Coturnix japonica: one gene and its partner. The protein of the gene in region 1 purifies or fractionates together with the protein of each later gene. This does not show direct contact. Links are inferred from orthologs where the notes say so. Each region holds a gene or a part of one and is shown on either strand. Other genes may lie near its edges.

Region 1 (6,556 bases):
GGATGTGAACACAGTGAAGAGAAGGGTGGTGTGTTTCACCAGTAGAGACAGTGGGTGATGTCTGCTGGAGCAGGTTTTTATGAATGTGGTATGTAGGCTCTTGCTCATTGCTGATGAAAACGGTGCTGACACTGTTTTGTAGCTAAGAGTTTGTCCTGCCATATAGAGCTATTGTGCTTTTTGTATTGTAGTTTCCATGGCAATTAATAGAAAGCACTACTTATGGAATGATTTACACCTATAAGCATCTACACAATAGATGTCAGTAATTCTTAACATTTCTAGTGTTGCAATTGCCACTACTCAACTGCTAGAGCAACCCTATGCATTCTAAACCAATGAAAGCCAGTTTTCAGACTAATTCAATCAAAAGTGATATTTGTTATAGGAATAAGGGCATTTAGAGCATGCTTACCCTGTGCAGAATCCACTGTTGATGTAAATACTCTAACCCTTGAAGTGTCATCAGCATATACGCTTTGATGTGAGACTGTGTTAATACAATACTAGTATCCTTGATAATAACCTGCAAGTGTTAGATTGATATGGGTAGACTGGTAAGCACAAAAACTTATAACACAAAATTATTCAACTCAAAAGTCAGTTTATACTTTAGGATAAAGCTGGAATTTGTAGCTACATATACATGTATAATGGGTTAATTTCTTCCAGAGCACAGATAATGTGAGCATGTACAGATTTGACACGACAGTCACCCAAAACGTCTTCTCAGCAGTGCTCCAAAATGAAGAATCTGCACTAAAGTATTCAATAAAAAGGTACTGGCAACAGACAAGCTAATGAAACATCCTTAAGATTCAGGCCTGCAAGCACACGCCACTGTCAAATTTAAAAGAAGGGTTCAGGAGTATGTGACTTCTAGTCAGATAATTACTCGGCATACTTGAATAATATCACACTTACTTGAGCATGTTTTACGTTACTGTGCTTAGCAATTGCATTCTGAGATCCTGGCTTATGATCAGTGGTTCTATGCTCTGACTGAAGCCCTAGAAAACTAATATAGTAAACATAATCCGTTTCTTGATAAAGGTGCTGACAGAAAGTACTTTAAAGGCATTTTCAATTGAAAATACTGTCTCACTATTCCAACTCTTTTAAAGGTATGATCTTAAATTACATAATGAAAGAATGAGACAACTTTCTAAAAAAGAAATAAAAAACACACAGTAACAGTAAGGCTATGAAAATATATTTTTCAAAATGCATTTTCAAAATGTATTTGAAGATATTGAAATTTATTGAAATTATCTTAATTTGACTTACCTCAAGGTCCGTTTCCATAAAATCAAATACTAAGCTAATATTAGATTTGTGTCCAAATGCATCTAACAGCTGTAAAACAAAATGTGCTATGATGAATGACACTCTCATAATTCCCGTTTCCTAAAATTCCATTCTACTTTAGTTTGCATGTGCATTTTCAATTTACTGGCAGAGACAAACAGGCACAGGGCTACTCACTGCCTAGACCTCATCATCAAGAGGAACCCTAATCCACCTGCTCACACCTCACACAGGTGGAATCCCTGCCACCCTCCCCAGGCAGCAGCAGGCTCAGGCACTCCCTGCAGCCAGAGAACAGCTACATTTCTGGGCAGGCCCTCTGTCTGGGTTGCCAAAATCTTTCTGGAATAAACCTGCTTTCTGATAGAGAACATGTTTAGGCCTGCAGTCCCAGAGACTTTCCAAGAGGAAAGCTAGTCTCCTGAGCACAGACTGACAACATTTACATTCATCACCACTTGATCCACATCCACAGCACTGTATGGGCAGTGTGGGCTGTGCTCACTCACTGAACCTCCCCATTCTCAGTGGGCAGCAACAATGGTTACTCACCTGGTAGCTCACCCTAGGATACTTTAAGCTTGTTATCAGGTGCAAACAATAAGGACTAGAGTTTAAACTGTGCCGCTAATGTGCCAGCTCCACCCTTGCTGACTCAGGAGCCAACCCACAAGCTGGCAGCTCCCCAGTACAAGCGCAGCCTTTTTTACTTCAGATCCCTTGTTCCAGATCCCTTTCCCAGTGCAGTTTTACCTTCTCTGAAGCCAGTCTCTGCAGCAAAAATTCACTGTACTTACACCAATAACATTCGGGTGGCTTAGTTCCTGTAACAATTTTATTTCTCTCAGCGCTGTTCTGTTGATTCCTATATTGAAAAAAATAATTAAACAGAATATAATTAATAATTTCAAGTTAAACTCCAGCAAAGAAACCTCTTATTCTGTTGTTCATTGATTACTTAATATTACAGTCCTTTTCCTCAGCACTCATGTATTTGTTAAAGCCAAGCAGACTGTCACAAATACATAGACTGCTGCAGGCAAGGTATGAATAACAACTAGAAGATATAGATTATGAAGGAAAATACACATCCCTTTGGCTTACTGGCAAGCAAACACTACTGCATTATGTTGTGCAAGATGTTTTGCCTACGCATGAGCTGAAAAACAGTGTTATTTCCATGGTGGTTTCATTCAACATATAAGATTCCAGCGAAGATTTAGATGCAAAGATCTTGATGGCTTAGTTGATACTCTGCCTATTTTAATTCCTTCTTTAGAAAAAAAAAAGAGACAACGTCCGCTTTCATGTGGACATATTTTTTATATTCAGAAAAAAAAGTATGCAAGCCAATATCATTATTCCATGCTATACTTGTGATTGGGTTCCACCTAAACAGTCATATACGCACAGTTAAACATACAGTATGAGAATGCTGTATTTCGGATGTTATTTTTTCTGTCCCTCTAGGTTGGGAAGGAATCAATCACCCAATCAGCAGAAGCAAAACAAACAAAGACAGCTTATACAGCATGAACTTGTTTTAACACTTACCATCTTTAGCTTCTGATCGATGTCCCAGTTTAATCTGAAAATAAGTGCCTCATATTATATAAGGTCAAGTCACAATCCCCAACAGTTTAGTTGTTTAATTAAAAAAAAAAAGATTAAAATAAGTTCATTAAAATACATTAACAATTCTGAATATCTTACAAGGGCTGCTCTGCAAGTAATGCCTCCTATGTTAGTGGTCTATGATGTCAGAGGCGGATGCTAGCATGGCAGTAAGAGGCTGAACCTTCCCATTACATGGTGTTGTTATCTGACAAAAGGGCAGCGGGGGGTACTCTGACAAAACGACATCTGACATGGATGCACAGAGGAAGCAAAAGTGTGTTGCTGAATTTCTCCATGCAGAAAAATGGCACCTAATAACATTCATAGAAGCTTGCTGAACATTTATGGAGATCAAACAGTAAGTGTGAGCAAAGTGAGGGAGCAGGTGATGAATTTCAGCTCAGGTGACAGCAACAGCAAGTCATCCCCACTCATACAGATTTATGGCAACACAGCACGCAGGCTTTAGCTCATTGCTAGTGAAAATGTCTAATTAACGGTGGTGTCTATGCTGAAAAATAGTTCTTGGTAACTTAGAGTGTGCTCTATCTGCTATAGTTTCCACAGAAGTAAAATGGAGGCACTGTTTTCAGTCCAGCACAATTCCACCTCTCCCAGCGTAGCACAGGACATTAAGGCTGGATACCCATGGACTACATGATCTTCTTTTCCAATGTACCAATCCTGTGAATTCTCACACACTACACACGACAGCAGTTCAACAGAAGCACCGTGCAGGACAAGGCTCCCAGTGACACCACAGCGGGGTGTTCCAACACTCACCTTTTTGATAGCAACGATCTGACCCGTGTTCTTGTCCTTTGCCTTATACACAGTAGCAAACTAAAGGGAGAGAGAGAAAGAGACGCGTGACCACGGCGGCAGGGCAGCCCACAGCCCAGAGCCAGAGTCACTACGGTGGGTGAGCGGGAGGGCGATCGGCCCGGCCAGCCACGCTCCCTCCCGCACCCAGCCGCCCCTCAGAGGGCCCCGGCGGCCACACCGCACCCACCGGCCGCTCACCTGTCCCTCCCCTAAGAAGTCTAGTTTCTCATAGCGCTTAGCACGAGCCCGCGCATCCATGGCTGCCAGCTGGGAAAAGCAGCACAGCCCTAAGGCCGGAGAACGAGGCACAACGGAAGAGCAGCACGGCCCTTTATCGGCGCCCGCCTCCAGACCCGCCTACCTGCACCATGAGCGCGCAGCCTGATGCCGTCAGCTCGGAGGCGGGTACTAGGAGGGCTGCGGCCCGGCACACGCTGTGCGATGCTGCTCGTGCCCTGATGGCTGTGTGTGATTAGCTCCGGAGCGGGCAGCTGCCCCACAGAGCTCATTAAGGAGGTTAAACCATGTCCTGGCTGAGTCTGTGATCATGAGGAACGGGGGCCTGACAAAAAGCAGAGTGGGGATCCTGAACTTCAGGAGAATTAACTTATTTAAAAGCAGCTTATTATAAACAGGACATCGTAGGACTTTTTATATAGTCTGATGATGACAGGACACAGAGAAATGGTTCTAAACTAAAAGAGGCGATATTCAGATCAGATGGTAGGGGAAAACTATCAACTCGTGTTGGGGGTTGGAAGGAGTCAAAGAACTGGAAGAGTTTGTCTGAAGAAGGTGTAAATGCCCCCATCCCTGGATGTATTCAAGGCCAGACTAGCTGGAGCCATGGGCAGCCTAATCTAATGGGTGTCAGCCCTGCCCTCAGCATGGGGCTGGAAATAGATGGTTTTTAAGGTTCCATCCAAATCAAGCCATTCTGGAGTCTCTGAGTGTGTCTATCTTGCCCATGAAATCAGCCATGAAAAGACCTGTTAACAAGGAAAATAAAGCAACTCAATTTGTTCTACTGCCAAATTCATAGAATGGCTAGTTAGAAAAATACTCTAATGATGTAGCCATCATTTGCTATTAGTCATCAACAGAAAATCTCTCATCACCAATTAATAGTGCTGTGTCAACCTTTACACCTTCACATAGGGTTTTTATTAAAGCTATCAGTATACCATTATTTATAATATTAAGGAAAAGCTTTTATGATGAACACAATACTTCTTTCTTCAACAGTGGTGATATCTGTTGGTGGCAAATATCTTCCGTACTTATTCTGGACCTCCACGCTGTAAAGCAAAAAATAGACAGAGTTAACTATTTTCCTCTAAAAGAAAGGGAAATTGATATCCAGTCTTCTTTTGCAGTTATAGATTAATAAACAAGTCCTAGATTTAACTTCATTTTTACGCTTTGATTTTTAATCTGTAATGGAACATGCTACATGTCAGAAAAATCATTGCCTGTCATTAATAGCTTATTGTGCCTGATGGAATAATATAAACAATATAAAAACCTCTGCAACCTATATTTGCAGCTGCTCCCTATCCTCTCAGTTGGAAGAAACATGACACTTAGTGACTCTGGAAAGATGAGACAAACAGCCGTAGTAGTAGCTTTGGATTTTTTTTTTACTGCCCAAATTCCAAGGGGCAAAGTAAAAGCAAAGCCCAAGAAACCCACTATAATCTTTATGAGAAATCAGAAATTCACTATTTTGACAAAGTTATTTAACAACTTGCCTTGTGGTTAAAAACAAACAAACAACAAACCAAAAACAGAGGTAAAGAAGTATGTAACTACAGGAAAGTGATTGTTTTATTTTGAATTTAAATAGTCACCCACTTGCACGCTGAAATATAGATTTCCGCTAGTACCATTATACCCTTTAAGTGTCCTCATTTAAGAAAGCTACTGTCTAGCTCTTCAAATTCTGTGCACTCTCCCTTTTTAAGTAAAAATGTTTTCATTTGAAAACTCTTCCAGAAGAAAAGCAGTTCTGCCTTGACTTTCCCATGTTATGCAGCAATTGCAAATATTTTAGGCAATACTTGCATCAAGCTTAACTAAAATGCTCCCAACTGTTAGAAGTGCAAAAATTAACTTCCTATTACATAACAGTTTCCAAACTAGTTTTTATGAATTTTGTACTTCAGTCACCTGGCAAGAGCATGAACAGCATTCTGTGCTCCCATATTCAAATTATGCACTAAACAATGGTTATAAAACAAGAAGGGAATATGCTTAGTGTAGGCTCTACCTATCACTGCCTTTCTACCTTTGCTTTAAATATGGATCCTACAGTGACAACACAAGCTACTAATTAGTAAGAGCTGTGAACCTCCTTCATCAAGGATTTGTTGTTTTGGTACTGCGTATCAACACTGCAAAAGCTCTTCTTAACAAAAATTACAATCTATTATCTCATGTGCAACTTTTAAGGACCTGCAGAACTACAAAGAAGGTTGGGTAAATAAGAGAACACACAACAGTTACTGAGACTTACTTGAATATATTCAATCTCTTCAGCTGACATAAGTTTCCTTCTGTATTTTTGAGGTAAGATTCTTGCTAATTCAGAAGTGTCTGGTGCACCATGTGCCCTACTAGCAGGTGAAATATTTTGAAAGGCTTCATTTGAAGCATGAGGTGACGGAACACTTGCTTGTAGAGATTCCTGTACTGAAACCCAGATTGAAAAACAATGTAAAGAAATACAACAAGATTGTACAGTTAATTAGATGAGTGGCAAATAAGCCACTGACAATTAGTTGTGTCCTAACATATATTAATATAC
Region 2 (6,239 bases), on another chromosome or scaffold:
TATGAGGTACGTGTAACATGTGTGACAAAAAAATAAAGCCAAACTATTATTTTGGTATCCAAAACTCATAAAGTTAAAGAAGTATTTGATTTCATCTGACCATGCCTCCAATGTATGGGGATGCTCCATCAAGCACAGACTTGCTTTACATTCAATCAGTCACTCTATAAGCAAATTTAATCAATTCCACAGGAATATAACACATCAGAAAGGTTCATAAGGGATTCCAATACAGAAACATCACTCATTTCTGGGTCATACCATTTCACAAGATAACTCTAAAGGAAAACCAGAAATCACGCATCAAAAAGACCCCTCTGCATGTTCTTAAGTGTATCATTTTATGGATTTTAATAAAGACACTATAATATTTCAAAGTGAGAAATAAAATTCAGTTCAAGAGTATTTTGGCTATGAAAATTACTCACTTTCTGAAATAGCCACTTTAATGCAGAACTTACTAACCACAGTCTATTAAAACAGTAACAACCCAAACTACTGAAATTTGCTTTTTCAGAATTGGCAGCAATCTCATTTCTCATCTTTTTACTTCTGAGTAATAGGAAAAGAGTTTTGGTCCATTAACTCGCCCACTCTCTCCTGAAGGAAGTTAACCAGCTCTGCTAATACAAAGACATGAGTTTCATCCAGGTCTTGTATGATGAACTTCTTTCCCAAAGCATTTGACTCATCCAAGTAGAGCAGAAACTGCTTCATTGCTGGGTCACTGCAGAGACAAATACACATCAGATTCCACCTCATTGTAATAAGATACAGCTAAAAATTAAGAGCATCCTTTTAAGACATTCTCAAAGTTCTTAGGAAAATTGTACCAACTTCAAGAGCTGCTCGCAATCAAAAGAATGTTAGAAGAAAGACAAGGTTTACACAAAGAAGCAATGAAAATGATACCAAAAGTGGGTGGTCCTCAGTCTTCTTCCACACACTCTTTTTTATGGGTGCACAGAGGTTTATTTTTGCTTGTTTCTTTCAGATGTACCTTACCAACACACTATGAGTACCAGACAGCATAAGCTGGTGTGCCCAGGCATATGTCAGGCAATACACACATATTTTCACATAATCAACATACAGGAGTGCACTCAGTGCCAGTAGATGTACGTTACAGCAGAAACACCGATCTTATTCAGCATTTGAAGATTATAATCCTTGAGATTTTGTCCTCAGAACAGTTTAGCTATATACTGGAATAATACAGAGGGAAGGAAGAAATCTGTATATTATCAGCATTTCATAGTTTTATTTTAATGTTTTACTTTAATGTTTAACACATTCAGAAGTATTTATTTTTTCCAAACTTCTTGCTGACTTTTTACCTAAGATGCCCTGGAAAAGCTGAGTTGTGAAAAATTGGTATCTGAAAAGTAAACAAGGGGACAGGTTTGTAATCTGCTCTCAGGATGGACTCATCAGCTACCATTATGCAAAGGCAAGAAGGAAACAAGAAAGCAACCAGCAGCTAGAAAAGCCAACATAAAAGTGAGTTACCCAAGGGGCTGTTCAAACTCTGATGGCATAACAGATGCTACAGACTTCTTGTCAGGCAAACTATTTCCTTCCAGGGAGGATAATAAAGTTTCAAGCTAATACTAAATGGGAAATGATCACAATATTGTACAGGAACACACAAATCTTCCAGAGCAAGTAAAATAAATTACAAAAAAACTACAAGGCTGTACTGTCTGCTTGAGATATTAGAATTTCTTGTTTTGCTAGTCAACAACTCTGCTTTGGGTGTCTTGAGAAAATGCAGGAAGGCCATTTCTTGCGTTCAGGTTTATCAGCATAGTAGCACGCAGCCAAATTGGAGCAGAGAAACTTTTTGTGATAGTGGAATTCATGCTCCAAGCTGCTCATACCAAACTATGAGGCATTCAGATGTGAGCTGGCTAATGTCCAGTCAGCTCAGAAGTAAACCACAGTAGGCAGACAGCTGTATGCACCATGAAGGATGTTCTGCACTCATGCAGTTACAGTCTGTTAATATGTTTACAATTTAAACATACAGCAGAAATCCTGTACATAATGTAATGATATATAATGACTCCACAAACCTTGAGTGACACTTTCTTTAACCTGGAGGTAATTCTTATCAGAACCTTAGTCTAGGGACTTCAGACTGTATAGAAACAAATGGACTGCACGGATATGAACAGCTTACTGTCTGAAATTATGAGCATATTCATTTTAGAGTAGCCAGCCTTGAGTGTGCGAACTGGAATTGATAAAAAAAGAAAACAAAAGACGAAGCATGGACAAATTTCCCTTTAGAATCAGAACACATCACCCAGGATGAAAACTAATTAACATTATTTACAATATAACAAACAAGATGAATACATGATGGTTAAGTCTAAGCAGAAAACAACATATCTGAAAATATGAGTCAGGAATTAAGATTACCCACAACTGTCTCTCTCCTTCTTCCCTTAAAAACCATGCCTTTCATCTGTCTGTTTGCTCAGTGTCACAGAATCACAGAATGACCCGGGTTGGAAGGGACCTCAAGGATCATGTAGTTCCAACCCCCCTGCCTGGCAGGGCCACCAAACATACACATTTACTAGATCAGGTTGCCCAGGGCCCCGTCCAACCTGGTCTTGAACACCTCCAAGGACGGGGCATCCACAACCTCCCTGGGCAGCCTGTTCTAGGGCGTAACCACTCTCCTAGTGAAGAACTTCCCCCTAACATCCAACCTAAATCTTTCCTCCTTCAACTTGGATCTATTGCCCCGTGTCCTGCTATTGTCAGCCCTTTCGAAGAGTTTACTCCCCTCCTGGGTGTAGGTTCCCTTCAGTTATTGAAAGGCTGCAATAAAGTCACCCCGCAGCCTTCTCTTCTCCAGGCTGAAGTTTACAGCAAATACATTTTTGGGTCTAGACTCTTAAAAGCACCTAAAGTATTTCCAGTCCTAAAGAAACAGTTGAGTAGATGCTGATGCTGTCACTAACCATTCAATCAGGACGCCCTTCAGAACATTCACCATCCTCGCAGCTCTCACAAACGCTGCAAGGTGCGGGTGGCAGCAAAGACTCCTGTTTGAGGTTACAGATAACAGCAGATGAAACCTGTAAGACAAAGAAACGCTTTAGTTGAACTCAGCGACCCAGGACCCCCCTCGCCCCGCCAGCACCCAGAGCGGCTATGCCCCATCCCCCCACCCACTCCTCCGACAGCAGCCCAGCCTCCCGTTGCCGTGTGCGAACCGTGGCCTTGCGAAAGGCGGCCGGGGCGAAGGCAGACAGGCTCCAACCCGTCCCTAGGTTAAACCGAGGACGGCGAACGAGTAGCTCCGGCCCAGCAAGCCCAACCACTGCCCCCACATACACGTACTACGCAAGTGCAGCCCTCGCTCCTCCTATTGCCCTCCTGACACTGTGCGGCGTGATGACGTTGAGTGCGTGAGCGACGGTGCCGGCTGCGAAGGGAGATAGGAAGCGGAAGGTACGGGTAGCGCTGTGGAGAGAGGGGGATGGCGGCGGGGCAGTAGGAGGGGCCAGGGATGGGGTCTGTCCGTGGTCCGATGATTGTGTTTGTCAAACCTCAGCCTTGAAGCCCCTCCTGGCGTGGGGCTGGCCGCTGGCATTGCCCCAGTTGTGCGGAGGCGACCGCAGGGAGAGCGTGCTTATCAGAAATGTAATAAATGAAGTCAGTGGATAAGTGCAGTGCTGAAAGGAGACAGGGCAGAAAGTTGGTGCATACAGTAATCGGTGCTTTCACATGGCCTGAAATGCCTCATTGCTTAACACTACAACTGTACATTCATTGAACCTCAATCTGTAGATGCTAAAATACATCCCTTATTAACTGTGATGTTACAGGGTATGTCAGCAAGAAAAGACAAACGTTTCCAAATCTGACTTGCCTACAATGTATATGAGTTGTTAGAGCCTGCTAAGTCAAAATACAAGACTTGGGTGTTAAGATAAAATTAATTATGAACAGCTAATTACTAAGTCATATGCTGTACTCAGCACTGTCTTCATGTGAACATGATGCGTTTAAGTGAGGATTACTAAGACATTGGAAAAGGCCTCACACAGAATCACAGAATTGTAGGGGTTGGAAGGGACCTCTAGAGATCATCGAGTCCAACCCCCCTGCCAAAGCAGGCTCCCTACACCATGTCACACAGGAAGGCGTTCAGGTGGGTCTTGAATATCTCCAGAGAAGGAGACTCCACCACCTCCCTGGGCAGCCTGTTCCAGTGCTCCGTCACCCTCACTGTAAAGAATCACAGAATCACTGTAAAGAATCACAGAAAAATGCCTCTGCCTCAAAGCAGAGCAGGTAGTCAGAGATGGATACTTACCAGTATTAGCACAAATATGTAATTGCATGAAGATTTTCTGTAAACTTTTGCTGTAACCAAAATGCAAACTACTAAATTCAGGAGTTTATAGGCTTTTTAATTTTTACTTAGAGTGCTTTATAACGCACAAAATGACATAAATATGCTTTACAACCTTTCCTGTAAAAAGGGAAACATGGCTACAAGTTTTCTGTTGTAATTGCCAAATCAATTTATTTATTTTTTTCTTTTTCTGAATATACAGAATGTCAGTGGCTGCTTACTGCATATTTTGCTGTAGACAAATAGGAACTTCTGGCCCAGCCACCAAACACCACCCATCTTGGAATAATATAAGTAAGTACAGTTCTGTAAGTATCAATCAAAGGTGTTATTAAAAGAAGAAAAGGTCTGTGTGGGTGTAACACTGTGCATGATGAAGTTGACAAGAAGAGACATAAATCTCCACATAACTTGTGATCAAAGCTTTTATTTTCCTGAAGCGGATGTCTGCTTCTGGCTTGCTTTGCATTGCAGTAGTAACACTAGATTATGTAGATGATGGAAGTCCCACCAAAATACAACCTCATTAAATTATTTTAAATTACTTCTGTTTCATCTTTGGTCGTTTTTTAATGATTAGCACAGTGAAAGCATTGCATCCATAAAGAGTTAGTAACAGAGCAGCAATCGAACAAACCTTGTTTCTCTCTCCTTCTGTACTGAATTTTTTTTCCTCTTCTTTAAGTTCTATGATCATCCCTGCTTAGTTTCTGCTTTCTTTAATGCCTTGTGTATAGAACTGTAAGAATTTTTGTTTTAAGGTGTATTTTCCAGCACTAAAAGACAGGACATTTCTTACCATTTCTGCTCTATGGGAATCACTGCATTTTTTTTGTTTGTTTCTTCTTTGCCAGTTATTTCTTTGGCATGTAACTGCTTCTTGTCTGCATGCCACAATTCTTAAAGTCAGAAGCTGATGGCAGTGGGTCTAGGGCAAACCTCCTTCATGCTGAAGAAAACCAATTATTCATGATAGGTGAGATACATTCCATTGGGTTTGCTGCTACTCATAGCAATAGAGTTGCACTGTACTTACAACCTTAAGTCTAGATAATCAGCTGAACTTCACCCAGCACAAATAATTCAAGTCTGACATGAATCCTCACATTTAAAAGGGAAGGTGCTGTAAGTGGCATGTGTTTATTCAACTCTTTGCTCTGTAAGTTATATTTTTCAAGAAATTCCACTCAATCTATTTGCTTAGGGAGATTCTGCAGGGATTTTCATGTACACTGAATACCCAGTCAAGAAGAAAAAGTTGACTCCTTAACATAGTGTGGAGGTTCAAGCAAATGCTGATGATATAGACAGAATTTTTCCTGTTGATTCTTGCAGCTGAGCACAAAATGTAATTGATGAGTAGCAACACTCAAAGTAAGTAACAGCAGTAAGAAACATTTTGTTGCCTTGATTAAGAAAGCAGGAAATTCTAATTCTGCAAGATTTTATTTAATTTTAAATTTAAGTTGTGATTTTCTAAAAGCCAGACAAAAACAGAAAAAAAGCTTATTCAGAGTTCCTGAAATTCCTACTGTCTGATAATCACACGTTATCTATTTATACTGACTTGATACATACAAGTTTGTTTGACATGATCTTTTTCATTTTTCAAGGAAAAATTGCAAAAGTAACTGGATCGCTTATACTAGGGTAAGTTGTAACCAGCAAGCTTATATGTAAATTACATATACAGTGAAAACTTCAATTCACGTTACTTTCAAAAAGTGTGACAGTATTTGAGGAGTTTAAATATGCTGTATTTTTGAAGCATATCTTCTGGTAGATTGACTTGTTTTAATTATATTAGAGTCCTTTTTCTGTGCTAAATTGATGTAATCGATGGACTTCTATGTATTTGGTA

The links.
Region 2: the proteins of CDK7 (region 1) and GTF2H5 purify together in Homo sapiens (affinity purification with mass spectrometry; 7 studies listed by BioGRID and IntAct, with this or other methods). This does not show direct contact. The link is inferred for Coturnix japonica from reciprocal best matches to the Homo sapiens genes CDK7 and GTF2H5.

The regions. Positions count from the first base shown.
Region 1 is NC_029547.1:13,175,883-13,182,438, forward strand, and holds the start of CDK7 (cyclin-dependent kinase 7), read right to left. Parts: upstream 4,106-6,556; 5' UTR 4,009-4,105; coding exon 3,949-4,008; intron 3,769-3,948; coding exon 3,709-3,768; intron 2,897-3,708; coding exon 2,863-2,896; intron 2,174-2,862; coding exon 2,106-2,173; intron 1,357-2,105; coding exon 1,288-1,356; intron 527-1,287; coding exon 416-526; intron 1-415. Other genes in the region: MRPS36 (28S ribosomal protein S36, mitochondrial), read right to left, coding at 5,031-5,048, 6,266-6,441. UniProt on the Homo sapiens protein: Serine/threonine kinase involved in cell cycle control and in RNA polymerase II-mediated RNA transcription. Cyclin-dependent kinases (CDKs) are activated by the binding to a cyclin and mediate the progression through the cell cycle.
Region 2 is NC_029518.1:46,899,094-46,905,332, reverse strand, and holds the start of GTF2H5 (general transcription factor IIH subunit 5), read right to left. Parts: upstream 3,458-6,239; 5' UTR 3,358-3,457; exon of another isoform or gene 3,231-3,357; intron 3,093-3,230; 5' UTR 3,011-3,092; coding exon 2,976-3,010; intron 728-2,975; coding exon 547-727; 3' UTR 1-546. Other genes in the region: protein SERAC1, read left to right, coding at 4,582-4,672, 5,992-6,028. UniProt on the Homo sapiens protein: Component of the general transcription and DNA repair factor IIH (TFIIH) core complex, which is involved in general and transcription-coupled nucleotide excision repair (NER) of damaged DNA and, when complexed to CAK, in RNA transcription by RNA polymerase II.